Callithrix jacchus: one gene and its partners. The protein of the gene in region 1 interacts with the protein of each later gene in a pairwise test. Links are inferred from orthologs where the notes say so. Each region holds a gene or a part of one and is shown in the gene's direction. Other genes may lie near its edges.

What was found.
Region 2: the proteins of U2AF2 (region 1) and SCAF11 interact in binary tests that used the Homo sapiens proteins (3 or more experiments, as listed by UniProt). The link is inferred for Callithrix jacchus from reciprocal best matches to the Homo sapiens genes U2AF2 and SCAF11.
Region 3: the proteins of U2AF2 (region 1) and TLE5 interact in binary tests that used the Homo sapiens proteins (3 or more experiments, as listed by UniProt). The two-hybrid records come from large-scale screens. The link is inferred for Callithrix jacchus from reciprocal best matches to the Homo sapiens genes U2AF2 and TLE5.
Region 4: the proteins of U2AF2 (region 1) and THAP1 interact in binary tests that used the Homo sapiens proteins (3 or more experiments, as listed by UniProt). The two-hybrid records come from large-scale screens. The link is inferred for Callithrix jacchus from reciprocal best matches to the Homo sapiens genes U2AF2 and THAP1.
Region 5: the proteins of U2AF2 (region 1) and KHDC4 interact in binary tests that used the Homo sapiens proteins (3 or more experiments, as listed by UniProt). The two-hybrid records come from large-scale screens. The link is inferred for Callithrix jacchus from reciprocal best matches to the Homo sapiens genes U2AF2 and KHDC4.
Region 6: the proteins of U2AF2 (region 1) and PRPF3 interact in binary tests that used the Homo sapiens proteins (3 or more experiments, as listed by UniProt). The link is inferred for Callithrix jacchus from reciprocal best matches to the Homo sapiens genes U2AF2 and PRPF3.
Region 7: the proteins of U2AF2 (region 1) and SNRPA interact in binary tests that used the Homo sapiens proteins (3 or more experiments, as listed by UniProt). The link is inferred for Callithrix jacchus from reciprocal best matches to the Homo sapiens genes U2AF2 and SNRPA.

Annotation. Positions count from the first base shown.
Region 1 is NC_133523.1:48,521,687-48,525,478, forward strand, and holds part of U2AF2 (splicing factor U2AF 65 kDa subunit), read left to right. Parts: intron 1-2,480; coding exon 2,481-2,616; intron 2,617-3,447; coding exon 3,448-3,492; intron 3,493-3,785; coding exon 3,786-3,792. UniProt on the Homo sapiens protein: Plays a role in pre-mRNA splicing and 3'-end processing. By recruiting PRPF19 and the PRP19C/Prp19 complex/NTC/Nineteen complex to the RNA polymerase II C-terminal domain (CTD), and thereby pre-mRNA, may couple transcription to splicing.
Region 2 is NC_133510.1:29,354,909-29,359,266, forward strand, and holds the start of SCAF11 (protein SCAF11), read left to right. Parts: upstream 1-1,295; 5' UTR 1,296-1,525; intron 1,526-4,358. UniProt on the Homo sapiens protein: Plays a role in pre-mRNA alternative splicing by regulating spliceosome assembly.
Region 3 is NC_133523.1:2,836,364-2,840,682, reverse strand, and holds the start of TLE5 (TLE family member 5), read left to right. Parts: upstream 1-1,399; coding exon 1,400-1,426; exon of another isoform or gene 1,427-1,427; intron 1,428-2,268; coding exon 2,269-2,366; intron 2,367-4,319. Other genes in the region: uncharacterized protein LOC128930549, read right to left, coding at 586-1,401. UniProt on the Homo sapiens protein: Transcriptional corepressor. Acts as a dominant repressor towards other family members. Inhibits NF-kappa-B-regulated gene expression. May be required for the initiation and maintenance of the differentiated state.
Region 4 is NC_133514.1:44,607,821-44,612,282, reverse strand, and holds the start of THAP1 (THAP domain-containing protein 1), read left to right. Parts: upstream 1-1,597; 5' UTR 1,598-1,866; coding exon 1,867-1,937; intron 1,938-4,462. UniProt on the Homo sapiens protein: DNA-binding transcription regulator that regulates endothelial cell proliferation and G1/S cell-cycle progression.
Region 5 is NC_133519.1:16,302,002-16,306,432, reverse strand, and holds the start of KHDC4 (KH homology domain-containing protein 4), read left to right. Parts: upstream 1-1,435; 5' UTR 1,436-2,172; coding exon 2,173-2,237; intron 2,238-2,278; exon of another isoform or gene 2,279-2,318; coding exon of another isoform or gene 2,319-2,356; intron 2,357-2,837; coding exon 2,838-3,054; intron 3,055-4,431.
Region 6 is NC_133519.1:10,249,848-10,253,639, forward strand, and holds part of PRPF3 (U4/U6 small nuclear ribonucleoprotein Prp3), read left to right. Parts: intron 1-1,363; 5' UTR 1,364-1,411; coding exon 1,412-1,556; intron 1,557-2,381; coding exon 2,382-2,512; intron 2,513-3,792. UniProt on the Homo sapiens protein: Plays a role in pre-mRNA splicing as component of the U4/U6-U5 tri-snRNP complex that is involved in spliceosome assembly, and as component of the precatalytic spliceosome (spliceosome B complex).
Region 7 is NC_133523.1:36,292,457-36,296,695, forward strand, and holds the start of SNRPA (U1 small nuclear ribonucleoprotein A), read left to right. Parts: upstream 1-1,197; 5' UTR 1,198-1,312; intron 1,313-1,477; exon of another isoform or gene 1,478-1,548; intron 1,549-1,808; exon of another isoform or gene 1,809-2,006; 5' UTR 2,007-2,028; coding exon 2,029-2,101; intron 2,102-4,239. Other genes in the region: ACTMAP (actin maturation protease), read right to left, coding at 115-437. UniProt on the Homo sapiens protein: Component of the spliceosomal U1 snRNP, which is essential for recognition of the pre-mRNA 5' splice-site and the subsequent assembly of the spliceosome. U1 snRNP is the first snRNP to interact with pre-mRNA.

The DNA of each region.
Region 1 (3,792 bases):
GTTGGCCAAGGGCAGGCGAAGGCACTTTCCACATGTTGTTCTGCCACACAACACCTGGGTGGAGTAGATGTGACCCCCCCCCTCGTTTAAAGAAGAAAAAACCAAATCTTAAAGGCTTCAGTTGCTTTTGCATGGTTTTATGTTGTTGGTAAGTAGAAAAACAGGTACTGATTTTGAGCTCTGGCTGGCTGCAAAGCCACGTTCCTCTATGCTGACCACCAAGTCGAGCTGATTGGTCCGTTCTTTGAGGCCCTTAGATGGCACCGTACTGGTTCTCCTGTGGTTTCTCCTCTGATGCTGGGAGGCCAGTGCCTGGACCTGGCGTGGTTCCTGGGTTGGCGGAGCTGCTCCCATAAGATGACCACAATACAATGTTTTCAGCAAACGAAACTCCCTTTCTGTTTTTACCTGTCCAGCATCAGTGTGTGGGAGAGGGTTCTTGCCGTAGGGGAAGCTCTGCCCGCGCACACGTATCATTCTGGCTGTGGGTCTTTGTCTCTTTGGAGGACGGGCCAGCTTCTGTACCTGCCCGCTTCTGCTTCAGCGCCTTCCTCTGCTCGCTGTGTCTACAGGGAATTTCCTTGTCTATGTCCCAGGCACCCAGCCAGGCGTCACTGCTTTCTGTGCGTGTGTTCCTTTCTGCCTGCTGCCTGTTTCAGAGCCTTAGCAGCAGGAAGGGCTCCTGGGGCTCACAGCCTGTCCATCTTTCAAGTGTGGAGCCAGCGCTGTGCCCGCTGCCATGCCTGTGTGCTTACTCCGCTGCTGGCTTGTCCTGCTGATTGTTCCCCCCCGTTTCTGTCTTTGATTTTGGGGTTTTGGGCCTTCAAGCCGACAATTGCATTGTCATTAGTGGTTCTAGCCAGAATGTCCTGCCTGATCCGAATTCAGGAGCATGGCCTCATGCTGAACTTGATGGCTTTACAGAGTTGAAATTCCGGCTTCACCATTTTCTAGCTGTTTGGCCTTGGGCAAGTTGTGGTCTCTCTGTACCTCAGTTTCCTTATCCATTATGTCAGCCCCCAGCAGTGTTTTTCTGAAGCAGTAGTGAGGATTAAGTACAAACAGAACTTTTTTTTTTTTTTTTTTGAGACAGAATTTTACTCTTGTTACCCGGGCTGGAGTGCAGTGGCGCGATCTCGGCTCACCACAACCTCTGCCTCCTGGGTTCAGGCAGTTCTCCTGCCTCAACCTCCCAAGTAGCTGGGATTACAGGCATGCGTCACCATGCCCAGCTAATTTTTTGCAAACAGAACTATTTAATACAGATTTCCGTCGTAAGAAGCATCACATTATTTGTTACTGTTTTTTTCCCCCCGCTGGGTGCATATTTTTCTGAGTGTTGGTGGTTTTGGAATTGTGATGCTTTTCCCAACATTCATCTGGTGTCAGAATAACAAAATGCTGGGTGAGGCTGAAGTTTAACATTCTCCCTCTGTGCCTTTTCCCCCCTCTGGCCCCAGGGATCATCACTCTAGGTGATGCTTGTTAACATGTATGAGCACCTTAACATGTGCATCTTGTGTGTGTGTGTGTTTCATGGATAGTTGAGAAATCTGGGTATCTCTGAATTCAGGGAATTCTAAGTGGTGCTTATGAACACCCCCAGCTCATGGTTTATCCTCCATCTTGAAGGGTTGGTCTTCAGGAGTTGAAGGGTCTGGTGGAAGCAGAGGTTTCTGTGGTTTTGCCAGTGAGGCTCTGTTTCTAGTGGCCACCTTGGAGGAAAATAGGACGTCTGGAGGCTGGCGGAGATACACACCCGTACTCTACAACCTCTCCAGTACTTGGCTTTGAAGGGAGCGAGGCAGGGAGAGTCAGGTGGTTTGGGGTGAAAGTCTGGGTAGGGCAAGCTCCTCCCCTGACCTGCTGAAGCAGAGGAGGGCTCTGTACCCTCCATCTGCAGCTGCTTCAAGGCCCTTCACTCCCCGGGGGAAGCGTGCTTGCTTCTGCATTATTCACCAGGTTGGGAAGGGATGGGTTGAGTTTCCCTGCTTCCTGGGGATATCAAATCCTGCCTGGCACCTGACCTCTAGGCCTGATGATGGGGCTGTGGGTGCCAGCTGGTTGCAGAGGTCTTTCCTGAGGGGTCTCTGCGTCCCTTCAGGAAAACATCATTGGGTCTCTTGATTCCCCAGCCTCTAGCCCTGCCCCTCTCAGGGACGACCCTGGGGTCAGGCCCCTCAGCCCTCGAGGGGGACCAGGAGCCAGCCTCTGTCTTCTCTGGCTCCCCAGCTCCTCCTGAGCATCCTCAGGTATCTTACACCCCGGGGGCATTTCCAGGCCCGTCCCCCTGGTCCCCTCAGGGTCCCTGGACTCGCTTGTGGATCTAGGAGGCCTGTTAATTCCCTTCCTCCATCGAATCCCTTCCCTTTGGGGGGTGGCCTCCCTGGGGCTTGGGACATAGCCACCAGTGCGCAGGGTGGGCTGGGTCCACATCCTTACTCCGCTCATCGCATCCCCTTCCTCTCACCCTTGCCCAGAGCGGGACAAGGAGAATCGGCATAGGAAGCGCAGCCACAGCCGCTCTCGAAGCCGGGACCGCAAACGCCGCAGCCGGAGCAGAGACCGGCGCAACCGGGACCAGCGGAGCGCTTCCCGGGACAGGCGGCGCCGAAGGTACTAGGGCTCAGGGACCCCGGGCTGGGCCAGCCTGGGAGTCGGGTGGGGGGTGGGTGTTGGCCAGCCTGGGGGTGGCCCATTGATTCTGTATCTGGGCCCAGGCCTTCTGTGGCTCATCTTTCTTTGTGTGGATCTGGGGGAGGGATCTACTGCTTGGTCTGTCTTGAATTCCGATTTTTCCCCCGTTTCTGGGGTTTCTTTCATTTCCTCTATTGGGGGTTGCTGGTGGGTTGCTGGGAGCAATAGGTTCTTTCTCTGGGGCCATGGAATTGATTCTGTGTTTTCCTTTGCAAGGGGCTGTTCTCTGTCTCTGACTCTGACTGCCTGTTTCTTCTTGTCAACTCTCTGGGGCTCTCTGTGGGACTCTATTCGAGGGGGTTGGTCTCTGCCTCCAGTTTCTTTCTTCCCTGCCTCCTTGGAGAAGGGAGCTCCTGGGAGTGAGGCAGTGTACACAGCCTGGGCTTCTTTTCTGGCCCAGGGGTGTTGGTTTCCACCGCCTTTTTCTCTCTAGGCTCCCGTCTCTGTTCTCTGCCCCTTAGGTGAGGAAGGGCAGGATAGGCAGAGTTCTCCTGCCTTCTCCCAGCAGTTTCTCCAGCTAGAGACTGGTCCTTCCTGGCCCCTGGCCCCTGTCTCCTTTCCTCACTTCCTCTTTCCTGGGGGTGGGAGTGTTTGGGGGGAAATGGCAGGGCCGAGGGGGGCCTGCTTGCTGCTTGTTCACCTCGGCCCTGCTCCCATCCTGGGGCTCAGTGCCCTTGGGGGGGTGTGGCATGTGGGGAAGACGAGGGTCCCCAGTCACCCCTCCCCATACCTTTCCCTCCCACCCCCCAGCAAACCTTTGACCAGAGGCGCTAAAGAGGAGCACGGTGGATTGATGTGAGCTTCTCTTCCTGCCCCTTCCTCCCTGATGTCCACTCCCTTCACCTTCCTCACGCCCGCCTACCCTGCCCTGTCCGCTTCCAGCCCTGGCCCAAGCACTGGGAAGAGTCCACTTGCCTTGAAACCAGCACCCCTTCCCCAGGCCCTGTCCCGGATCCTCTCCTTCCCTGGAGAGAGTGCAGCTTACATGGTGGGGGGGAGGGTGAAAGGGCACCTGGGAGGGGCTCTGAGGCCCACTGTTGGTCAGACTGAGGTTACCCTGCCCCCCTCTCCCCTCCCACCTCCCCCAGTCGTTCC
Region 2 (4,358 bases), on another chromosome or scaffold:
ACAGTTAGAACGGGGGCAGAACCACAGGAAAAGGTGTGAGCGCGCGGGTGAAAGCGACTGGGACCTGGGTGAGCCGCGCGCAGGGAGCAGAGCTTAGTCCCGCGGGAGCCGCAAGCAGGACAATGGCGTGGGCAGGAGGACTGGAAGGACTGCTGGTAGAAGATGAGGGACATTGAGGGCAGGCAGGGCAACCAGGAGCTTGCTGCAGTCGACGAGAAGAGAAACTAGGAGATTTAAGAGTTAGTGACTTTGAAAAAAACCAAAATACTTCTGAGGTAAAACAAAACATTTAACAACCCACCCGGAAGGAGTGGAGGATGGCATACGGGTCACTAACCACAAAGCAGAGGTCTTTGAAGTAAATCATAATCAAGTTTTTGTTGTTTGAGACAGGGTCTCACTTTGTCGCCCAGGCTGGAGTGCAGTGGCGCGATTTCAGCTGACTGCAACCTCCGCAGCCCACCTCAGCCTCTAGAAGAGCTGGAACCACAGGCGCGCGCCTCCACGGCCGGCTAATTTTATTTTTTGTAGAAGGGACTACATTGCTCAAGCGACTTGCCAGCCTCGGTCTCCAAAGTGCTGTTATTACAGGCGAGAGCCACCGCGCACCTGGCCCAAATTAATTTTGCGATGTGGGATTAAGACGTGGTAAAGGCCCTAAGCTCGGCGAGTTAGCCAGGAAAGCTATCCCCTCAAGCATCTAAAAAAATGCCCAGGAGAAAGGAAGAAAGGTGCCGACTCTTCACCCCGCGGGCTGTATTTCTGATGGGCAACGCCGCCAGGTGAACACTCAATCCACTACAAACATACGGACACTTTTCAACATTAGATTACCATCAAGATAGAAGAGCACAACCCACGCAAAATCCTTCCTGTCCAGTTCCCTTAAAGCCTCTTTCATTGTCCACAGCGACGCAGCCCGTAAAGCCACCAAAGGAGCTCTGAGGCAAAAAGTCCACGCGCGGCGCATGCGCACCCCCCGCGGCGTAGGCGAAGGGCGGGAGGGAAGGACGTTTCCCAGAAGGCCCCTCCATCGCTGCTGCCCTTCCTCCCGCTCTCAGCCCTCGTGACGTGACTCCACCCACCACACTCCTCGGTCGCAAACAGCAGTTTGCCAGCGCCCCCCTGCGGTCTGGCTGGGTGCTGCGGACGTGCACGCAGGGCCAGATGAGCGAGTAGGAAGAGTGTTGCGAGTACGACCGCCGCCGTCGTCACCGCAGCGCGCCGACTGGGAGCGGAGCCGAGCGAGCGAAGGGAGGAGGAGGGAGACGCGCGGGGAGGGGAGGGCGGAGGCTAGACAAGGCGGGGTGAGCGGGAGCAGCGGTGGCGCAAGCCGCGCGGAGCAGCGCAACCTGGGTCGCTGCGGCCTCCGGACCGGGCCAGCGGAGTCAGTGTCCCAGAGACCCTGTAACCCTTCAAAGTGGACGAAGGAGTCCATGTTGGGGAACTTGGCGGCGGATTGACGGGGACCTGTAAACCTACTGTGGGGCAGCCGCCGGACCGAGCACCTCGAGTTCGGCCTGAGGTAAACACGGGCCGACCCGCGGGGTGGATGGGCTTGGGCAGCTGTCCGGGCGAGGCCGGGGTTAGAGGCCGGCGCAGAGCGCTGGAGCGGGCCTGGGGCGACGCGAGGACTGACAAAAGTTTCGGAATCTCGCGCGGCCCGGGCGGCGTAGTGCGCTGGGAGGAAAGTTAGAGCTGCCTCCCTAGGTGGGGGAGGCTGCGGCCGGGAGGGCCCCTTTCCCTCTGGCTGCCCCGCGAGGGAGGCCCGGCTCTGGGCCGCCGCCGCCGCCTCCGCCTCCTCTCTGTCGCACTCCGTCCCATTTCCTCCTTGTGGCCTACGCGCCTCCTGCCGCCTTAGCTGGCGATGCCTGTCCCCGCCCGGGTGCAGGGTCCTGCGGGGGAAGAAGGGGCTCCACGCCAGAACCGCCGCAGAAACCCTCCTCCCTGCCGTAAACGTGTCCTGCTAAGCTTCCGGGCACTCCCGACCCTGGTATCGGCTTTTCTTGGGAGACTTTGGTCGCGAGCGTCCAAGCCCGCTTGTGAAACCAAACTTTACTACGTTGTGACCTCTCAAATGCACGAATGGGGAAGAACCGGCGCTTTTCACTGGGTGCTCTGAACTACAAACTACTCTCCAACCCCCAATGTTTTAAACTCGCTGCCTGGGCTGACAACTACCGGGCTGGGAAATCTAAATTTAGCCGAATCCGTCGCCCCTCCTCAGACTTAGGAATTTTGAGTCATTAAAAAGATTTCTTACAGATGTAACATGTATTTTGAAAAATTGTTTCAAAGTAGAGGCCCAGTTTAGAGTACTTGATTTAGACATTCACAGATTCAAATGTTGAGTTTCGAAATACCCTCATTATATTTCCGTAGGGTATTACATAAGTGCCTACCAGTTGAGTGTTTTTCATTCATTTTGGATTACATTTTGGCCAACACACTACCAGTGAATTAAGATACGTAGCTAAAATGCTGAAAAATGTTTTTAATGCTTTGTGTAGTAGATGCTGATGTTACATTTTCTCCGATTTGGGAATTTCCCCCGAATTTTGGGAAATGATTGTTAATAGGTGCATTATTTTTTCATTTTAAAAGAAAAATGAATTTATACATATGACTACCTACCTCAGCAGCAGAATATCAGGGCAGTACATTTTAAAATAACGATTGGTTTTTGCATTTTATTATTGTATTAAAATTTTGATTTTAATCTCATAATCGAGACTGTTTCTAAACAATTGCTTTCTCTTTCCTGTTTCTTTGGCATTTGGCTTGAGCATCTCACTATTTTGGTTAAAAGATGGAAGAAAAAGTTTATGGGCCTTTTGTTTTTGTTGTTTCATCTGACTGGGCAAGAGAAATTAAATCTTTAAACTGTCTTTGTGTTGCTTTTGTTTTATATCCTGTCGGATAATCTGACTTTATATTTTTATGCAATGTGAGTTTTTAAGAAATAGTAGTTCTCAGGGTAGCTGCGTTTTAGCCATAATATTTTTTTGGTGCTTGCAAATATTTTAACAGTCATTCACTTTTTCACATTCAAATAGTGAACTTTTTGCCTGAGAGTTTGTGTACATTTTAAAATTTCATTGGGGTAAAATTTGAATGTTTGTTTACTGTAAGTATACTTGTGGTTTAAACACATTTTTCAATATAAAGGGGAAGAAAACTAGAAGAAAATGTAAAGTTTCTAAATATGTTGCCTAAAAAAATGTCATGGAGAAAATTTTAAGGAGAATTTTAAGGAGAACAACAGCCTTCCCCCCATCCCCTCAATATTTCCTATCTATTTGTACACCAGATTTTTCTCCATAGCCTTTATCATTTTGCAACATACCGCATAATCTACTAACTCTGTTTATTGTGTATTTTCTTCACTCTAATGTATCTTCTGTGAGATCAGCATTTGTCAGTTTTGGTCACTGTTATGCCCCTGAACACCTGAACAATGCCTTACATGTAAGTTAATGAATTAACTTGCTTTCAAGTATAAACATTACAAATAATGATTGTGGTTTGAAACTTAACGGACTAAGCAAGTCTCAGTCTGTGGCATGAAGTACCAGGTTACTTATATCCATGCACATGGGCCATGTTCATTTGAGGGGTCTGTGTTTTTTTGTTGTTTTGTTTTTGCTTTCAGATAGCATCTCACTCTGTCTCCCAGGCTAGAGTGCAGTGGTGTGATTACAGCTCTCACTATACTGCTCAGGCTGTTCTCAAACTCCTGGGCTTAAGTAATCCTCCCACCTTGGCCTCTCAAAGTGCTGGGATTACAGGAATAAACCAACACACCCAGCCTAAGGGCTCTATGTTTTTAGAGGAGTATGACGGTATGTGACCTTGAAACTATCATTTGTCTCAATATAGAAGGAACTAAGAATGCCTTAGCTAAGAATAGAGCAGTGTGTTAGTCCATTTTCAAGCTGCTGATATACCTGAGACTGGGAAGAAAAAGAAGTTTAATTGATACAGTTCCACATGGCTGGAGAGGCCTCAGAATCATGGTGGGAAGAGAAAGGCAGTTCTTGCATGGTAGTGGCAAGAGAAAATGAGGAATATGCAAAACTAGAAACCCCTATTAAAACCATCAGATCTTGTGAGACTTATTCACTACCATGAAAACAGTATGGGAGAACCACCCCCATGATTCAAATTATCTCCCACCGGGTTGCTCCCACAACATGTGGGAATTATGGGAGTACAATTCAAAATGAGATATAGATGTTGCAAGTGCTCAATAGCCACATCACTATCAACTACTATACTGGGCAATACAGATTCAGAACATTTCCATTATTAAAGAACTGATATTAAAGAACCAAACCATATCAAGCAGTATAACTATC
Region 3 (4,319 bases), about 46 Mb from region 1:
AAAAAAAAAAAAAAAAAAAAAAAAAAACCACCAGGTCCTGTCCCTCTTCCTTCCACAGCCCTCCAGGGCTCCCACCTCACTCAGAGCAAGAGCCCTGTACTCCCCGAGGCCCACAAGCCCTTTTGGAACTGGCCTGTGTCACCAGCTACAGAGTTGCAGGGCACAGTACAAAAGAAAACTGAAAGGCCCCTTGTTCGAAAATGATTCGGAATTTCAAAACGCAGCAGTAAAGATTCACCCAGGCAGAAGCCCTGCTGGGGGCAGGGGGCCTGGGCAACAGCATGAAGCCCCAGGCCCAGGCCCTGCCTCCATCCCGGGCATCCTGGTGCCAGGCACAGTCCTGCCCCAGGGCCTTTGCACCTGCTCGTCCTGCCTCTGACTGGCACTGCCCCCATCCCCTGTTCTCGCTCCTTGGGGTCCGTTTGTGGAGGAGGAAGCCCTCTCTGACCCTCCCTGCCCTCTGTTCAACCTTGCACCTTCCTACCCCGCCATTGTCCCAGCCGATTTTCCCCGCAGAGGCGTCCCCACCATCTGACCTGCTGGGAATTCAGCTCCTGAATTTATCTCTGTCTGTCTCCAGGCACCTCACCAGGGCAGGGGCCTTGTACCCCCCCCACCCACCCCAGGGCCCTGGAGCAGCCGGGCCTGGCACACAGGCCCTCCATAAAGGTGTCCAAAGAATGGCTTCCCTGAGGAAGGCGGCATGACCGCTGCCTTTCTGCAGAAGAGGAAACTGAGGCCCGGCGAGAACCACCGCCCAGCCAGAGCCAAGGTCACAGAATACGTCCCTGGCACGCGTCCAGGTCGTGCCACCGCAGGGCCGGCGGCTTCGACCTGGGCAGCCGGGTCCCTTTCTCTGACAGATGGGGAAACCGAGGCCAGGCCGGCCGCCAGGCTGGGGCGGGTGGCGGGGGCCGCGGCCCGGGGCGGGGGCGCGCCGGGCCCAAGGTCACCGCGGCGGGCGGGCCCCGGGGAGGCGGGCCGGGGTGGGGATCCGCAGGCCTCCCCGGGCGCGCGCGTCCCCCCCCTCGGCGGCGCGCACGGGGCACGGGCGGCGGCGGCAGGTGGAGCCGGAGCCTCCGCAGCAGCCGAGCCGCGGCCACCGCCGGCGTCGCCGCCATTAGACAATAGCGGTGGGGCCGGGGAGCGGGGAGGCGGGCGGCGGGGAGGGGCGGGGAGGGGCGCCGGGCGCGCAGGAAGCGGGGCCCGGGGCGCGCCGGGGCCGGGCGCGCGGGGAGGGGGCGCAGGAAGCGGGCGAGGCCGGGCGCGGGAGGCGGCGGCGGCGGCCCCGGGAGCTGCCGATCCGCGCCGGGACAAAGGCGCGGCCGCCCGGCGCCCCGAGCAGCCCGAGCCGGGGCGCACAGCCGGGGCGCAGCCCGCGCCCCCCGCCGCGACTGACATGATGTTTCCACAAAGCAGGCATTCGGTAAGCGGGGCCCGCCCGCCCGGCGCCCCCTCCCCGCGCCCCCGCCCCGCGCCCCCCCAGCTCCCGGGCCCTGGCTTCCCTCTCGGGCTCCGAGCCCCGCGCGACCCCCGTCCTGCCGCCGACCCCCGGACACCCCCTCAGTTCCCGATTCTCCCCCAGCTTCCGGGCCCCGAACCCCCCCCCAGCTCCCGGCTTGGCGCCCCCCCCCCCGCCCGCCGGGACAGGCAGGGCCTCGGACGGCCTTGGCCTCGGGCCTGGGGATCTCCGGGAGCCCCGCCAGGCACCTCCAGCGCGGGGCTCCTTTGGGGGCCTGTGGTGGGGGGGACAATCCGAGGCGTCCCCCCTCCCGGAAGAGAGCGCGTCCCCGAGGAAGGGCGCTGGGATTCTGGGGTGGGCTCCCCCCCGGAAGATTTAGGGCGCCGAGAGAGACCCCCTTCCCCAAGGGGACTTTGCAGGGGGGACTCGCTGCCCCTCAACTTGGGGAGGGGGCTCCCTAGGGCGCGTTTCCACCCCCCTCGGAGGCACCCACTCCCGGCGCTTTGGAGGGGCGGTAGAGGGCGTACCCTGCCCCCCACCTAGGGCGGGCCTTAAAACGCACCCCCCACTGCCTGGGGGTGGCGGGGGACGGGGCGGCTCCGGGCGCACCCACCCCCTCAGCTTCCCCCGGGGAGAGGCGGGGGCAGGAAGCGCGGGTGGGGGCCTTGCCAGGGGCGGTAAACACGGGCCCAGGAAGTGGGGCAGGAGGGGGGGCGCCGCAGCTGCGCGGCCGCTCCCTCCTGGCCCGCCCTTGAGGGGGGCCTGGCCCACGCCTGGGCCTGACCGGGGCGCCCCCCTCCCCACAGGGCTCCTCGCACCTACCCCAGCAACTCAAATTCACCACCTCGGACTCCTGCGACCGCATCAAAGACGAGTTTCAGCTCCTGCAAGCTCAGTACCACAGGTGAGGGGCGGGTCGGGGTCCCTGCGCCCGAGAGGGTGAGCCCCCTTGTTCTGCACGGACGGCAGATTGGGAAAATAACGTGTGCTAGGCTCCGACCGAATCGCTTGACAAATACTGAATTCCTTTCTTTAAACAGCCCCAGTTTGTAGAGGAGGAAACCGAGGCACAAAAAAGTTAAATAATTTGCCCAAAGACCCACCTGTGTGACTTCAGAGTCCCTCCCTCCTCCCCAGTCTCCCCCAAGCCCCCCCCCACCCCCCGCTGGATAAAAGACCTTGCGCCAACCAGCTTAGAGCCTGGACTCACCATCCCCCCAACCCCAAAACACATTTTGTAACCTGGTTATGTCTGTCTTTGGCCAGTTTTGGAGAAAGGGTTCCCAGCGCCCATCACGTTCTCCAAGGTGCTTCTCCTTTCAGAAATCTGACCTTTCTGAAGAGTTTGCCATGTAGCTGGTCTAAGGCGAGGGAACTATTGAGTCCTCTTAAAGAAATGTAAGCCCAGGCCGGGCGGTGGCTCACCCTTATAATCCCAGCACTTTGGGAGGCCGAGGCGGGTGGATCACGAGGTCAAGAGATCGAGCCCATCCTGGTCAACAAGGTGAAACCCCGTCTCTACTAAAAATACAAAATTAGCTGGGCACAGTGGTGCGTGCCTGTAATCCCAGCTACTCGGGAGGCTGAGGCAGGAGAATTGATTGAACCCAGGAGGCGGAGGTTGCGGTGAGCCGAGATCGCGCCATTGCACTCCAGCCTGGGTAACAAGAGTGAGAATCCGTCTCAGAAAAAAAAAAAAAGAAAACAAAAGAAAGAAGCTTAAGCCCAGAGAGGTCAGGGATTTCCTCAGGGTTAGTATCCACAGCACTGAGGAAGGGGCAAGGCTGAGGTGGGCACCAGGTCTCTCTCCTGGTGTAAGGATGCAGATTCCCACGTGCCCTGCTCTGGAGGGGCGCAGCAGACCTGGGAGTCTGGAGGAAGTCAGGCCACGCTGAGGCCCACGTTTCAGCCTGGGGGCCCTCTCCTGACTGCAGTTTGCCCATCCTGGAGGGACCCTGGACTTCCTCCAAGTAGAAAGGGGAATCTCGATTTTGAAACTATCCAAACTTTCGGGGTACTCCCTGTGTGCTAAAGACCATATGTGCTTCCTCGTGAGGTCCGGCTGTCGTGCCCATTCTCAAGATGGGCACACTGAGACCCCGACAGTCAAAAGCACTGGAACCAGCTTTCCAGGAAGGCCCCAGAAACTTCTATTTGGGTCCCTGGAAGCATAGGGTTTGAGACTGCCTGGTGGGCCCTGGGGCTGACCTGATTCCACAGGGAAGAGATCAGATGGCCTTCGCAGTGCTGTGTGACCTCCAGTAAGCCAGACGCCCTCTCTGAGCTTTGGAGTCTCCATCTGCTGGGCCTGGGCTTTCTGCTATCCAGAAAGCCCTGCCATATCAGGCACACACTGGATGTTCAAGGCATAACAGCCCCTGGGTGGCCGGATCAAGTCTCACGCTGTCGCCCAGGCGGGAGTGCAGAGGGGCAATCTCGGCTCACTCCAACCTCCGCCTCCTGGGTCAAGTGATCTCCTGTCTCGGCCTCCCAAGTAGCTGGGATTACAGGCACGCGCCACCACTCTCCTAATTTTTGTATTTTTAGTAGAGACAGGCTTTCGCCATGTTGGCCAGGCTGGTCTTGAACTCCCGATCTCAGGTGATCCACCCGCTCGGCCTCCCAAAGTGCTGGGATTACAGGCGTGAGCCACTTTGCCCAGCCCTGATTTTTTTTTTTTAATGTTAGCAACAAATGCACTTTTTTTTTTTTTGAGACGGAGTTTCACCCTTGTTACCCAGGCTGGAGTGCAATGGCGCGATCTCGGCTCACCGCAACCTCCGCCTCCTGGGTTCAGGCAATTCTCCTGCCTCAGCCTCCCGAGTAGCTGGGATTACAGGCACGCGCCACCATGCCC
Region 4 (4,462 bases), on another chromosome or scaffold:
GCCTGGCTCAGATCTATGTAAAGGAAAGGAGCAGGGAATTAAGTAAAACTGTTACAAGAAAGGGATACCAATCCAGACCCAAGAGAGGGTTCTTGGATCTTGTGCAAGAAAGCGTTAAGTGCGAGTCCACGGTGCAAAGCAAAAGCAAGTTTATCAAGAACATAAAGTGGTGAAAGTACAGCTACTCCTTAGAGAGAGCAGGGTGTTCCCGAAAGTAAAAGATACACTTGTTTATATAAAGGATAAAAAAAAAAAGATCATGGGAGATGTGCTCTGTTGCAAGGGTTTGTGATAAATGATTAATTACTATATTATGTAAGAATCAATATCATCTTTATGAGACAGTCTCACTCTGTCACCCAGGCTGGGGTGCAGTGGCATAAACATGGCTCACTGCAACCTCCACAGGATCAAGTGATTCTCCTGCCTTAGCCTCCAGAGTAGCTGGGATTTGAGGCATGTGCCACCACATCTGGCTAACTGTTGCATTTTTAGAAAAGAAGGGTTTCACCATGTTAGCCAAGCTGGTTTCGAACTCCTGACCTCAGGTGATCCGCCCACCTCGGCCTCCCAAAGTGCTGGGATTACAGGCCTGAGCTACTGCGCCCTGCCCAATAAAGCAAAATTAGGAATGCTTCTGTTCTCAAAATATCAGGATATCTGGACACTTGGAAGTCTGGGTCTGTTTAGTAAATATTATCAATCTGTTGCCTTAACTGTAAACATCTAGAGACTAGGAATACCTAACTTTCTGGGAATGCAGCCTAGCAAGTCTCAGCCTCATCTTCCTAGCCCTCACTCAACACAGAGTGGCTCCAGTTTATAACCCCTCTGACATAGTCTCTCTCAGATGTGAAAAGTTGCTGCAGCACCTGGAAATCACAGCAATGGACATCCCTTCATAAAAGCTTCTGGAGAGGGCCTGGTGGTTCACTCCAGTAATCCCAGGCCACTAGGAGGCCGGATCCCTTGGGCTTGAGTTCTAGACCGGCCTAGGCAACGTGGGGAGACACCGTCTCCATTTTTTAATTATATATATATATGTGTACACACGCATACATATATATACACACATACATATACATACATACATATTATAATGCTTCTGCGTTTGGCAACTGAGATTATTTGGTGAGTGTGTCTTTCTTCATTCCTAAAAACCTGTCACATTGCTCTCACAGAGCTTTGTGATACCTGAAGAGGCAGGCAATGGGATAAAGATCAGCATTCTGGGAAAAGGTTCCACAATTTTATTAATTATACACGATCTGTGCCTGCCCTTTTAAACAAATGGGAGGAATCAGACAACGACCTCGGCTTTACACCTGTTCTCCAAGAGGCCCCAGTAGTTTCCTACTCTAAGCCGCCCCAGGAAAGCTCCAGATCAATTAATCCGCCGGAACAGCCCGGGGTTTGAGGTGGCCCCTGGAATCCGCCCTCCCGCCGCACCTCCTCCTCCAAGCAGTTCCTTCCTTCCGGCCAGAAGCTCAGGGCTCCGCCCACTTCCGCAATTCCGAAGCCACCACCGGAAACACCTGGCCTCAGCCAATAGTCAGCTTCCCAAGGAAAGGTTACCTCTGACCTCAGAGTAATCAGAGACAGTGGGACGCACCCCTCGCGATAGGTGAGGTTGAAGCTGCCTCCGCCATCTTGGAGATGGGAGAAGGGCGATGGCTGTGGTCCTTCTGCTAATGCAAACAACAAAACGGGCACACTAGTCACTCCCGAGGGAGGCCACCATCACTGTAACTGTTGGCCAAAGCTACAAAAGAAACGAGGGTGTCCAACCGAGCGCGGCGACACTGAAAGCAGCTTCCCCTGCCTTCTGCGGCGGCAGAAGTGAAGTGCCTGAGGACCACCGGAAGGATGGTGCAGTCCTGTTCCGCCTACGGCTGCAAGAACCGCTACGACAAGGATAAGCCCGTTTCTTTCCACAAGTGAGGACCCTGCGCACCTCGTGGGGCCGGTCCCAGCCGGGGTGGGGGCGCGCGGCCGGCGGGGCCGGGGGCGGAGCCAGGCGCGTGTCCGCGCGAGGGGCGGGCGGGGTCTGGGGCCGGCCGCGCGGGGCGTTTCCCGCCGCGTCCCGTGGGGAACCGCCGCCCGGCTGCGCGTTCTCGGCGCGCGTCGCCGTGAAGGCCGTTTCTTGCGCTCCTGAAGCAGGCCCTGGGTGCAGGCTTCGCTCGCGGCCTGGGTTGACGACTGCGGAGCCCGCGGGCAATGCCCCGGGTGGCGCGGATTTTGCCAGCACCAGGGTCACAGACCAGCCAGGTGGAATAACGTCTTAGGGGTGAATTTGAAATAGAAACAAAGGCCTTTAAACGAAGAAATTACTACCTTTTTCGCCCTTACGGTGGATGGGAAGCCAGCATCGTAGCAATTAAGGGTTGATTTTTTGCCTGGGAAATCAGGGAGAATTTTTGCCCCCAATCTCTAAGAACTAAGCTTTAAGGACCCTAAGTTTTGGAGAAAGCTTCAGGTACTGCCAAGATAAATCGTTCTTTTCAGCCCACAATATTGATAATATGGACAGTTACAACATGGATCATAATAAAATGGCTCACACTGACCTTTATTTATTATGGCATTACGTGTGCATAGAGGAAGCCCTTGCGGAGGAAACTCACCACAGCTTTCAGAGCTGTTTTATCCAGTAGATAGCGCAGTTAAGAGTGCTAGGATCAAAAATATTCTCTTGAAAATGGGAAAAACGTGCAAAGTTGAAATTACTATCAAACGCTTGTAAAATGTGACATAATATTTTCATTCATCTGAATTTTAATTACATTTATGTTAAGTTTTCTTTGCAAGATTTCCTCATGACTATACGCGGATGATAGCTAAGAAATCAGATCCAGGGGTAAACTATACAAGTTAGCCATAGGTAATTAGCTAATTATCTTTTATAATTAGGTAAGTAATTACAAAAGCAAAATGTTAAATAGTCTTTAAATTTATTTATATGTTTTGGTGTGGGGCCATCTATGTTTACTAGAGGAGTTTCCATGCATTTTTTAAATGTTTGCTATCATGTGAGATGGACCCTATAGAAATAAGAGTGTGTAGAATATAGGGAGGTCTCCAGAGTAATGATGTTACCCCCTCGAAGTGGATAGAACATGTTCAGGATGTCCCAATATTATCTCTTGATTTAATTGGAATTTCTGTAAACATGTACTTTAAAAATGTAGGAATAGGTCAGGTGATGGTAATAGGATTACATGCACAGCTCCCCAGCCCACATTTCTGATGGCGTGGCAGAAGGAATCATAAAATGGAAAATGTTTCATCAGCACTGGAAACTAGTTAAGGATGGTATTCACAAGTCAGAAGTAACTGTGTTTTTGGCCAGGCGTGGTGGTTCACGCCTGTAATCCCAGCACTTTGGGAGGCCAAGGTGGGCGGATCACCTGAGGTCAGGAGTTCGAGACCAGCCTGGCCAACATGGCAAAACCCTGTCTCTACTAAAAATACAAAAATTAGCTGGGAGCGGTGGTGCACGCCTGAGGCAGGGGAATCACTTGAACCCAGGATATGGAGGTTGCAGTGAGCTGAGATCTCGCGCTGCACTCCAGCTTGGGTGACAGAGGGAGACTGTCTCAAAAAACAAAAACAAACAAAAAAACACTGTGTTTCTACTAGATGTTAAAACAGATGTGAATTGAATCAAAAGAAGGGCTAACCTGAACCTTATCCCTTATCTAAAAGAGCAGGTGTTGGGAGAAGATGGGAAAGATCTTAACAGAGAAGCTCACAAACAGCTGTAAATTTATTGTCCTTGAGACAGGAGGCCCTGCGTACTGAATTTTACCAGCTAATGCTACCATAGTTTATACCTATAGAGGCCATTTCCAGCTGAGATATTTTAGTGGTAACACTTCTCCCAGCTTCTACATAGTGGCAGTAGAGAGAGCTATGTTGTACAAAGAAAAGGGACTCATAAAGATCTCTTAATAGCAGAGTGAAGCTCTAGCATACTGAACATGGAAGAGAAACTGTAGAACATAAATTCACAATGTTCTTCTCTTTGTTTTTTTTTTTCTCCTAATCCCCCCAGTTTACCAGATCCTTAACTTGGAAGAGTAAAACTAATAAATGTAAACTCTCACTTTCCTCCTTTACCTGAGCCTGATGGACATCCCAGTTGATTAGAAAATACTTTTCTCTCATCATTACCTGCCTTTAATTTAATTCAAATTTAACCTATTCATATTTGTCAGACTGATGCTAAAAGAACTAGAATAGAAGCCTCTTTTTCCCAGTACATAGATACAAATGTGCAATCTTTGTCTTTCTGTGCAGCACACAGAAAATTACTGGTAAAAAATAAGAAGACAGATTATTTTTTTCTTTTTGAGACAGGGTATGGCTCAAATATATCTTATATTTATCAAATATATCAAATATATCTTATATTCACTTATATTCAAGTGAAATAATCTTGGCTCACTGCCCCCTTGATCTC
Region 5 (4,431 bases), on another chromosome or scaffold:
ATGAGCAAATGATGAATAAAACTAAAAGCTAGGTTATTTTAAAAGGCAAAAAAAAAAAAAAAAATAAGACACTGGCAAGACTAAGGAAAGTAAAAAGAAAAGAAAAAAAGGTTTTTTAAAAATTGAAAATACCAAGTGTTGGAGATGATGTGGAGTAATAGGAACCGTGGTACATTGCTGGTGGGCATGTAAAACAGTGCAGCCAGTTGCTTTGACAGTTCCACAAAAGTTAAACAAGATGTCCATATGACATAGCAATTCTGCACTTACGTATAAACCCTAAAGAATTCAAAATAGGTACTTAAATACTTGTGAATGTTCGCAGCAGCGCTATTTACAATAACCAAGAGGTGGTAACAACCCAAATGTTCATCAATGGATGAATGGATAAATTGTGGTCTATACATCCAATGGAAAATAAATTTGGTGATAAAAAAGAATGAAGTTTATTCAGTGATAAAAAAAGAATGAAGTTCTGACATACACTACAACATGGATAAACTTTTTTTTTTTTGAGACGGTGTTTCGCTCTTGTTACCCAGGCTGGAGTGCAATGGCGCAATCTCGGCTCACCGCCATTACAGGGGTGAGCTACCGCACCCGGCCAGAACTCTTAAAACATTGTGAGGGCCGGGCTCCGGGCGCGGTGGCTCATGCCTGTAATCCCAGCACTTTGGGAGGCCGAGGCGGGTGGATCACGAGGTCAAGAGGTCATCCTGGTCAACATGGTGAAACCCCGTCTCTACTAAAAATACAGAAAATTAGCTGGGCATGGTGGCGTGTGCCTTTAATCCCAGCTACTCAGCAGGCTGAGGCAGGAGAATTGCCTGAAACCAGGAGGCGGAGGTTGCGGTGAGCCGAGATCGCGCCGTTGCACTCGAGCCTGGTAACAAGAGCGAAACTCCATCTCAAAAAAAAAAAAATTTTAAGTGAAAGAAGCCAGACACAAAAGGCCACACATTGTATAATTCCATTTACATAAAATGTGTAGAATAGGTAAATTCAGAGAAAGAGTAGATTAGTGGCAGTCCCTGTCTTGCTGGGAGAGATAAATGGGAAGTGATTGTTAATAGGTGAGGGGTTTCTTTTTGGGGTGATGAAAATAATCTGGAATTACATAATGGTGATTGTGACACAATCTTGTGGACACACCAAAAAACACTGAATTATGCACTTATATTTTCTCTTTTTAGGCTGGGCGCGGTGGCTCACATCTGTAATCCCAGCACTTTGGGAGGCCGAGGCAGGTGAATCACGAGGTCAGGAGTTCAAGACCAGCCTGGCCAACATGGTGAAACCCAGTCTCTACTAAAAATACAAAAAATTAGCTGGCGGTGGTGAGCGCCTGGAATCCCAGCTACTGAGAAGGCTGAGGGATGAGAATCACTTGAACCCGGGAAGTAGGGGTTCCAGTGAGCCAAGATCGTGTCACTGCACTCCACCATGGGCGACAGTGCGAGACTCCGTCTCGGGGTGGGGGGGAGGAAGGAAAAAAAAAAGAAACTTTTAGCTTACAGAATCAGCTCAACAAATTCCTCAGCATAGCCCTCAGGGCCTTTCATTTTCTGGCCTCCCGCACTCCAGCCATCTCAACCGTTAAGTACACAGATCCCGGAAAAGGGTGCTCCATAACCGACGCTTGATCACCTCTCCAGCACTCAACCGGCTTTTTAGCGTCCCGTTCTTAGACGCTCCAGCAAGATGAGCAGCTTATCTTCTTCGACCTTTGCTTAACATACAATTCTATCATACCTATTTGCCTGCGCGCCTGCCCTGCCACACAGTACCAGAATGTCAAGGCCTGTGGCTTGTTCATCTTCATATACCCTGCTTGGTGCACAGAAATGAAGCAAACAGATAAATTCTTCAAATGATCTTTTCAACGAATTTAAGTAACAGAAACGTGAAACGGACAAAAGCTACGGAAGGCTGTCTCCCCAGACAGAAACTGGGACTCAACACAAACGTAGCGGAATTTGAGGAGAAACCTGTTTAATCTCCTGACTCATGCGTATTGTCTTCCAGTCTAACAACATGCCCACAATAAAGATGGATTCTGCTAGCCCCGATTCCGCCTTTATAGTACGCATAGCAGCCATCTTTCTTAAGGGTAAGGAGCAACCCGGAAGATCACACCCTACCTTTTTCAGAAATGCAGGACGCCTTTAAATCATGGAGAGTCCAATCGGAATCGACATTTTCACCGGAACCGCTCGGCTTCACGACCGGAAGAGGCTGTGCGTAAGAGCGTTGGGGGCGGAAGTGACGGGAAAGTGGTAGTTGGGTAGTTGGCGGGTGGTTGAGTAGAGCCGGTCGCCATGTCCGCGGGGAGCGCGACACATCCTGGAGCTGGCGGGTAAGGCTTCAGGGGCGAAGGCATCGGAGCGAGTACTGTGGCACGGGAGAGATGGAAGGACCCTGAGAAGCTGAGTTTGGGGTGGAGGGGCCCTTAAGTGGGAAGTGGGGGCTTGGGCGTTCGGGGAGAAGGATCTTGAGCAGGCCTGGGGCCCTTAAAGGGCCGGCGGGGATCTGAGGGAGGAGGGAAGCGGGGATTTTTGGAAGGGCGAGCCAAGGGGAAGGAAACGAGAGTGCACAGGGCAGAGTGGAGTCGTTGGATAAAGATGACAGTAGAAAGGAAAGATTTGGGGGAAGCGTTTGAAAGAAGTGGTTAAAATAGCAATAATCGTTTAAGAAGAGGGGAGTTGTAGATTTGGAAGGTGATTCGGAAGTGGATATGAAATATAATAGAGGGAAAATGGGGTGCTAAGGCATAGTAAGGAAAGAATAACATACATGAAAGCTTTGGGGCCTAATGTTTTTTCTTTTTCTACATATAGGCGCCGCAGCAAATGGGACCAACCAGCTCCAGCCCCACTTCTCTTCCTCCCCGCAGCGGCCCCAGGTGGGGAGGTCACCAGCAGTGGTGGAAGTCCTGGGGGCACCACAGCTGCTCCTTCAGGAGCCTTGGATGCTGCTGCCGCTGTGGCTGCCAAGATCAATGCCATGCTCATGGCAAAAGGGAAGCTGAAACCAACTCAGAATGCTTCTGAGAAGGTATTTGAAATTGATGGGTCTCCACTAATTGTGAATTACTAGTTGTTTCGTAATCCTGTGATCTCATAATCATTTGCGTTAGTTAAAAATGGATATAGTCGTTTAGAGATCATTTAGTTTTGGAATATTCCAGATGACATTTTGTCACAAATACATATTTACGAGGCATTTTTGATTGGGCTGATTACATTTATGGACCAAATACCTTGTCTTGTCCTTGTTCACTTAGTTCACCTTGAGTTATATTTCCATAGTCATTTAAAGCAACATAACATGTTTTTAACGTGTGCTTTTTCCCTGAAGTCAAAAGAGAAGTTTAGGTAAATCAAGTGAGCTTCAAAGTGTCATCTCTAATTAAAACCTGAAGTGGGTTTTTTGTTTGTTTTTTGTGTTTTTTTTGAGACAGAATCTCATCTGTCACCCAGGCTGGAGTGCAGTGGTACGATCTCGGCTTACTACAACCTCTGTCTCCCGGGTTCAAGTGACTCTCCTGCCGCAGCTTCCCAAGTAGCTGGGATTACAGGCACATGCCACCATGCCTGGCTAATTTTTTTTTTTTTGTATTTTTAGTAGAGACAGGTTTTGCCATGTTTGCCAGACTCCTTTCAACCTCCAAAGTGCTGGGATTACAGGTGCAAGCCACCATGCCCAGACTTGTTTGCAAAGACTGTGTGAGTCAGTTGTCCATTTCTAAGGTTTATGGGGAAAAATTAAAGCATCTTGACAGGCCTGGCACGGTAGTTCACACCTGTAATCCCATCACTTTGGGAGGCTGAGGCGGGAGATCATCTGAGGTCAGGAGTTTGAGACCAGCCTGGCCAACATGGTGAAACCCCATATCTAATAAAAATACAAAAAGTAGCTGGGCATGGTGGCACATGCCTGTAATTCCAGCTACTTGGGAGGCAGAGGCTGAGGCAAGAGAATCGCTTGAACCAGGAGGCAGAGGTTGCAGTGAGCAGAGATGATGCCATTGCACTCCAGCTCGGGTGACAAGAGTGAAACTCTGCCTCAAAAAAAAAAAGGCATTTTGTCAAAGATGGAATGCTCCTTGCTCTTTGTATATTAAGATTCTTAATACTGATGTCAATCATTTAAGGATTTTTTTTTCTTTAGAATAATACTTTTTTTTTTTAACATAGAGATGGCATTTCACCATGTTGGCCAGGCTGGTCTCAAACTCCTGACCTCAGGTGATCCACCCACCTCGGACTCCCAAAGTGCTGGGATGGGCGTGAACCACCTCGCCCAGCCAAATAATACTCTTTTTTAAAAAAGATATTTGACCTCACCAGGATACATAAATACTGGATTTAGAATCATAAAACCTAGGCTTGAGACTCATTATCCACAGTTACTGGTTATGTGGCTTTGGCA
Region 6 (3,792 bases), on another chromosome or scaffold:
CAGCCTGGCAAAAGAGCAAAACTCTGTCTCAAAAACAAAAAACAAGAAAAAGCAAAAAAGGAGGGAAGCTTATGTAAGTCAACGAATGCCTGCCTGGAAGTACGGAGAATGGAAAAGCTGGCCCCTGAATGGGCTTTTTTAGTTTTGTTTTAGTGTTGCTATATTTGCAAGTCCTTGTTGATATGACAGGATAAAGCTAAGTCTCATTTCTCAGGCTTAGCTTATTCACAGAGTTTATTTATTCCACAGTTTTCATTGGTCAACTTAAGAGTTAAAGAGTTAAAAATCAAATGGGGCGGGGCACGGTGGCTCACACCTGTAATTCCAGCACTTTGGAAGGCCAAGGCAGGTGGATTACAAGATCAAGAGATTGAGACCATCCTGACCAACATGGTGAAACCCCATCTCTACTAAAAACACAAAAATTAGCATGGCGTGGTGGCATGCACCTGTAGTCCCAGCTACTTGGGAGGCTGAGGCAGAAGAATCACTTGAACCCGGGAGGCAGAGGTTGTAGTGAGCCAGGATTGCCCCACTGCACTCTAGCCTGGTGACAGAGCGAAACTGTCTCAAAAAGAAAAAAAAAAAATAGAATCTCTTTCTGTTTTGAGATATGGTTCTTGGGGAAAATATTTGCCTTCAAATGAGTTGGCAGAACTTGTCTAGGATTGAGAATAGAGGTGGAGAATGCATTCCTCATATATTAACATTTCCCTGGATCCACTTTAATTTTTTTTTTTTTTGAGATGGAGTTTCGTTCTTGTTGCCCAAGCTGGAGTGCAAGGGCATGATCTCGACTCACTGCAACCTCCACCTCGCTGGTTCAAGCAATTCCCCTGCCTTAGCCTCCTGAGTAGCTGAGATTACAGGGGTTCATCACCACGCACAACTCATTTTTACTTTTTTTTTTTTTTTGAGACGGATTCTCACTCTGTCTCCCAGGCTGGAGTGCAGTGTTGTAATCTTGGCTCACTACAACCTCTGCCTCCTGGGTTTAAGCATTTCTCCTGCCTCAGCCTCCTGAGTAGCTGCAATTACAGGCACATGCCACTATGCCCAGCTAATTTTTGTATTTTTAGTAGAGATGGTTTCACAGTATTGGTCAGGCTGGTCTTGAACTCCTAACCTTGTGATCCACCTGCCTTGACCTCCCAGTGTGCTGGTATTACAGGCATGAGCCACCACACTCGGCCTCATTTTTATTATTTTTAGTGGATACGAGGTTTCACCATGTTGGTCAGGCTGTTCTCGAGCTCCTGACCTTAAATGACCCACCTCGGCCTCCCAGAGTGCTGGGATTGCCACCACACCTGGCCTACTGTAGTCTTTTCTTATTATCTAACTTGTCTCTTTTTTTTTTCAGGTGTAGTATTGAGTCCTGTTTGAGCTATTGTACTCTTTTTCCTCAAAAATGGCATTGTCTAAGAGGGAGCTGGATGAGCTGAAACCATGGATAGAGAAGACAGTGAAGAGGGTGCTGGGTTTCTCAGAGCCTACAGTGGTCACAGCAGCATTGAACTGTGTGGGGAAGGGCATGGACAAGAAAAAGGCGGCTGGTATGTACCTTTCTGCAGCTTTTGTCTTAACTTACAGGGTGATCCCAAACACTGCTTTGAACTTCCCCAAAATTCTCTCTGTTGGGAACGTCTAAAAAAAGGGCAGGCCACATTTTATTTTCATTTGTATTTTACTGCAAGTAGCCTAAATAATAATTTTGCTTTTTCTCTTATTGCTTATTTTTTATGTTATTTGTGATATATTTTAAATCTTCCTTTGGCTACCATACTGAGTCACCCAAGTTAGATTTACTTAGGAAGTATGCTAAAGTCAGATAGGCATGTTCAGTTATTCAGATTGACATCTCAACATATAAAAGTCTTTATGAAATACGTGAAAAAGCTTGAAGGAGGCAGATTTTGTTAATGGTAGTCTCCTACAGCTTGCTATTTGGGAAAGGTTAGGGTGGTTATTCATCTCTTTTTTTTTTTTAATATATATATTTTATATGTTTTTTAAGATGGGGTTTCACCATGATGGACAGGCTGGTCTTGAACTCCTGACCTCAGGTGATCCACCCACCTCAGCCTCCCAAGGTGCTAGGATTACAGGCGTGAGCCACCACGCCTGGCGATTATTCATCTTAAACTTGATGTTCAACCTAAATAGGTTATTCTGACTGACTTCCCACTCTAAAAAATTATAAGTATTTTCACCTCAAAGGGCAAGGTCATTCACTGTAAGAGAGATGGGAATCCTGCAAAGAACTTAAAATTTGTTTCACTCCTAGGAGTGAAATTCCAGTGTTGGTACCTGTTCTAGGCCTAGTATTAGTGTATATACTCTTATCTTTCCAATCCTACCACCGCCTTTTTTCCTGTCAGATCATCTGAAACCTTTTCTTGATGATTCTACTCTGCGATTTGTGGACAAACTGTTTGAGGCTGTGGAGGAAGGCCGAAGCTCTAGGCATTCCAAGTCTAGCAGTGACAGGAGCAGAAAACGAGAGCTAAAGGTAGGTTACAATTTACTATCTAATGAGCTCAGGACTGTTTTGAATGGTAACAGAGTTGCTGAGCTTGCCAGTTCACACTTTGATGTCCACGATTTAGAGCACCAAATGTTCAAGAGAGGTACTTAGACGTTAAAGTAGAAGAGGTGAATTGTGTCATCATCATATTATGATAATGAACTACCCAAGTTCATGGGTTGAAATATCCAAAGAAATAATTGGTAGCTTTGTCTTTTTTTAGATAACAGGAGTTTTGGTTTTAATCTTTCTCCATATTTCCTTTTTTTTTTTTCCCCTTCTTACTACTACCTATAAACTAATTGTTCTAAGATTTTATGTTTGATTTGAGGCCTATAAGTTGTTTTAGAATGTGACTCCACTGGTACCTGAGCTGTAGACCTCACTGATGTCTCTTTGTAGAGGTTTCTCTGCAATGCACTTGTAGATAGGATACCAAAAAGTAACTATTATTTATTATATTCTTGAGAGCTTACCATTTGCTACACGGCATATTGCTGGTCACCTGGTGCCATGAGTGAAACACTTGAAAGAGTTGTCAGTGCCTCCTTAACTACTACACTTCTTATTCTATATTTGCTGACTAATCCTGGCCTCTTTCAATATTAGCAGTGTCAAGTAGCCTATCTTTCTACTCATTTCCCAGTATCTCTCTTTATTAAAAAAAATTCTGCGACTCCTATGAAATCTTCCAAAGTTCTTTTGATACCTTGGCTATCCCATTGCTTTTGAATAAGCAATGTCTGATTGGTCCCCTGGGCAGTCTATGGAACAAGAAAAACCAGAGAGATGTGTGCCTTTTGTGTTTAGAGTATTGTAGGGTGATCAGAGAAGGAGAGAGAGTCCTGCATTAAAATAATTTGTAATTTGCCAGGCACTGTGGCATGTGCCTGTAATCCCAGCTACTTGGGAAGCTGAGGCAAGAGGATCTCTTAAGCCCAGGAGCTGTAATTTGATAGAGCAGAGATACCACAAAATATAGTATATAGACCCGTATTATAAAATCTGAGTAGCAGTTTTATGTAAATTTTAGGGTTGGCTATAGAATTTCAGACTTAATTTGAATTTTGTTATATTTAAGGGGGAATGATTGATCCATAGTATACACAGATATATACAGTGATGATTATGTCACAATAGGGCATACTTTCTTTTTCTTTTTGAGATGAAGTCTTGCTCTGTCACCCAGGCTGGAGTGCAGCGGCGTAATCTCGACTCACTGCAACCTCCACCACCCAGCTTTAAGCAATTCTCCTGCCTCAACC
Region 7 (4,239 bases), about 12 Mb from region 1:
GATCTTGAGGACACGAGAACCCCCCAAGAGGAGACAAGAGGAGGCGGCTGAAGTGATCTGCGGAGAAGCAACTGGGGCAGAGCCTGGGCGGTGGGTGGGGTATGGAGACCCTACCGGTCCTTGTGCAGCTTCAGGAGCCTCTTCACATCTTCTCTGCCCTTGGGGACCGGGCCAGCCTTCTCCAAGGCCTCCTTCAGGAGCTGGCTCTTCTCCAGGCCGAAGACATGAGGGCGAGCAGGCCCCGAGGCAGCGGGTGGAGGAGGCAGTGGGGGCGGTGGGGGAACAGGAGTTTGCTGACTCCAGGGACGGGATGAAAAAGCTAAAAAGTCCAGGGCACTTGGGGGTAGAGGAGGAGGTGGAATGCTGCTGGCTTGGGGTACAGGGGTTCTTGGAGGAGGGATTGGTGATTTTAGGGGAGGAGAGCTTGGTGAAGTCATTTTGGGGTCTCCAGGAGGTGCTGAGGGGTTCAGAAGGTGGGGAGGGAGGGATCGTCCAAGAGGACGGCCTCAGGGACGGAAATTTTAAAAGTTTAAGAGCTGAATTCCAGAATCTGGGGGCAGAGCAGTGGGTGTGAAAGGACCAGGGCTAACATTTGAAACAGTGGGAGCAGGAATTGCGAGGCTGACCTCAGCCTTAAGGCACCTGACGGCTAACACGGCGGGGACGGGTTGTTACCTCGGGAGGCTTAGGTGGACAGTTAGTAGGAGTTAACTCCTTCTCTGGGGCCGAATGTGGAAACTCATGGGTAAGTCTGGGATATGAAGGCTCAGACATAGAGTGAGGTGCCTGAAGGGTGCGACTTAGGGGCCCGGGGCTAAAGATTCGGAGAACTTAGACTCAGTCCCCTCTCACATCCCAGGCCCGAGTTCGGAACCTTTGAGCTGACCTTTTGAGTCAGAGGCAAGAGGTCAAAAAGGACACCTGGCAGGGAAAGTGGCCTAGTTGTGGAGAAGGTCCTGGAGTCAGAGCAATAAAAAACCTCCGTGGGTTGGAGAAGACTCAGAGATCACAGGCTGGAGGGCGCCGCGATAACCGGTGGAACAGGGAAAGGAGTCAGGAAGTAAAATGAGCCGCCCACTCCCGCAAAATGGCGGCCCCCGCACACAGCCTTTCCCATATTATGTGGTATCACCCTCAATAGTGCCCGCCCATTTGGCGATCACGTGACAGAAAACGCATCTCACGCGGGGAAGAGGCGGGGCTTCAAACAGGCTTGCCTCCGGAAGACACCGCAGTTCGAAACGCGTCCCGATTGGCAAAACAATCGTGACCTTCACTGATTGGTCCGTAGACTCGGGAGCTACGGAAGGAGGTGGGCTTGTCGAAAGTGGGGCGGAGTTTTTCTACCTAAGCGGGAACCCAAATATCGTTTTGATTGGCAAGAACTGAGCCTAGAAACGAGTCTTGCTCTGATTGGGCAAGCTACTGAGTTTCCGCATGGGGATTGGCTGACAGAAAGGTAGAGGCGGGGCCAGGAGAGAAAGCTTTGTGGTTTGGTCTCAGAAAAGTAGCAGGCGCCAGTTGAGAAAACTGCGGCCCCATCGGAAGGTAACCTCGGGCGCAGACTAACATCGGCGGAAGGCGGGCGGTGCGCTTGGCGTCCGGGCCTTCCTGTGCCCGTCTGAGGAAACTTCTGCCTCTCGAGGCCAGGCTGCCCAAGACCCATCCTTTCTTCCTTTACTGGCTCTTACATCCGGGTTTTTTCTCCCGGACTGCCCTTCGGACGCGTCGACCAATGGGAACCGCCATTTAGGGGGCTCCGCCCACTGGGTCGCGTAGAGCATCCTGGAACTCGTAGTAAATCTCTCGAGAGTTCCCTCTGCACGCGGGCTCGAGAAGTGGGTCCTACGCACGCTTTGTTGCCCACGCTGTGCCTCCGTCCTTCCCACTCCCGCCTTACCTGACTTCCTCTCGGAAGGAAGAACCTTGAGCCCCCCGTTAAGCCAACGTTGGGACAAAGGATTTGGAGAAAACCAGGGCTAAAGTCACGTTATTTCTCGTTTAAGCCTTACCTCGACACTTCACTCCATGGCAGTTCCCGAGACCCGCCCTAACCACACTATTTATATCAACAACCTCAATGAGAAGATCAAGAAGGATGGTGAGTTCTCGGGATAGTCCGCACTCCAGGCTGTCCCGCACGGGCTGGTCTCCCTTCCACCCCCTGCACCTGCTTTTCTTTCTCAGTGTTCGTCCAAGCAAACTGTTCCAGTGAACCCTTTGGCCTTTACACAAACGACTTCCTCTGTCTTCAACACTCGTTAGTTCATCTTACACTCTGCCCTTTAACCTGGTCACTGTTGCTCATCTTACAAGGTTTCAGGACACAGGACCCCTCCTCCAGGAAGCCTTCCCTATCCTGCGTCCCTTCACGTGGCTGCCCCTGACTTCCTTCCATCAAGCCCGGATTCCTCTGGGCTGTCGTGGGGCTCTCTCTCCTCCCAGTGGCCTTTGAGCTCCATGAGGGCAACGCCTGGGGCTTCTTGGTCACCGGCGTTTTCAGTGATCAGTGCACAGTGAAAATGTACCGTACTGGGGCTAACGCTCTGTATCATGGGCTGGTCTATGCGCTATTTTTTTTTTTTTTTTTTTTTTTTTTTTTTTTTTTTGAGACGGAGTCTTGCTCTATCCCCAGGCTGGAGTGCAGTGGCGCAATCTCGGCTCACTGCAACATCCGACTCCTGGGTTCAAGCGATTCTCCCACCTCAGCCTTCTGAGTAGCTGGGACCACAGGCACGTGCCACCATGCCCGGCTATTTTTTGTATTTTTAGTAGAGATGGGATTTCACCAAGATGGTCTCGATCTCTTAACCTTGTGATCCGCCCGCCTCGGCCTCCCAAAGTGCTGGGATTACAGGCGTGAGCCACCGCTCCCAATCTTGGTTACATTTAATCCTCAAAACAAGCCTGTAGGAAGAAAGAAGGCTTTTGTTATTCCCATTCCTCAAATAAGCTGAGACTGGGGTGATGTGACTTGGCCTGGGTCACATAGCCACCGGTATCTAACTCCCGTTTTTGGCAGGGCGTGGTGGCTCAGGCCGAAAGGATCACTTAAACACAGGAGTTCAAGATCAGCCTGGGCAACAAAGCGAGATCTTGTCTCTACAAAAAAAAAAAAAAAAAAGCCTGGGCATGGGTGGGTCACGTCTGTGGTCCCAGCTGCTCAGGAGGCTGAGATGGGAGGATCGCTTGAGCTACAGAGGTTGAGGCTGCAGTGAGCTATGATTGCACTGCAGCCTGGGCAGAGCAAGAACCTATGTAAAAAAAGAACTTGATTATTGAAATCGGCAAGACTCTACAGCTTTCTCAAGTAAATTATCACCTTTATTGAACCTCATTTTCTGTGTCTGAAAACTGAACAAAGTCATAATACCTTCTTTGCATCGATGTTGGGGGAAATTAAATTAGCTAAATCTCTAAGTGTTTCTGTTTTATGGTACCTGGCAGCTAGGAAGGGCTGGATAAATGTTAGCTCTTATCACCTCAAGAAAATTGTCGGGAGAAGCGAAGGAGCTTGCTGGGATTCAGTTTGAGGTTACCAGTGAAGTTGCGCTTGAGGAAAGCATAGCCTACAGCCAGGCGCAGTGGCTCACGCCTGTAATCCCAACACACTGGGAGGCAGAGGCGGGTAGATCACTTAAAGCCAGGAGTTCGAGACCAGCCTGGCTAACATGCTGAAACCCTGTCTTTACTAAAAATACAAAAATTAGCCAGGTGTGGCGGTGCATGTCTGTAGCCCCGGCTACTCGGGAGGCTGAGGCAGAAGAATCACTTGAAACCCAGGAAGCGGAGGTTTTTGGGTGTTTTTTTTTTTTTGCAATTTTTTACTTTTTCCCTCCCAGAACACGGGAAGGAAGTAGAGGTCTTAGTGAGCAGAGTTCGCACCACTGTGCTCCAGCCAGGACGGTAGTGTGAGACTGTCTCAAAAAAAAAAAAAAAAAAAAAAAAAAAAAGACAAAATCAGGAATGTAAATATTGCATATGCTTTTAGAGTGTGCTACCCAACCAGTATCAGGCAGTGCTGGGGGCACACTGGTGACATAGAATCCTGGTTTTATTTATTTACTTCGAGATGGAGTTTCGCTCTTATTGCCCAATAAGAGTGCAAGGGGGCGATCCCAGCTCACCCCAACCTCCACCTCCTGGGTTCAAGTGTTTTTCCTGCCTCAGCCTCCTGAGTAGCTGGGATTATAGGCATGTGCCACCACACCCAGCTGATTTTGTATTTATTGTAGAGAT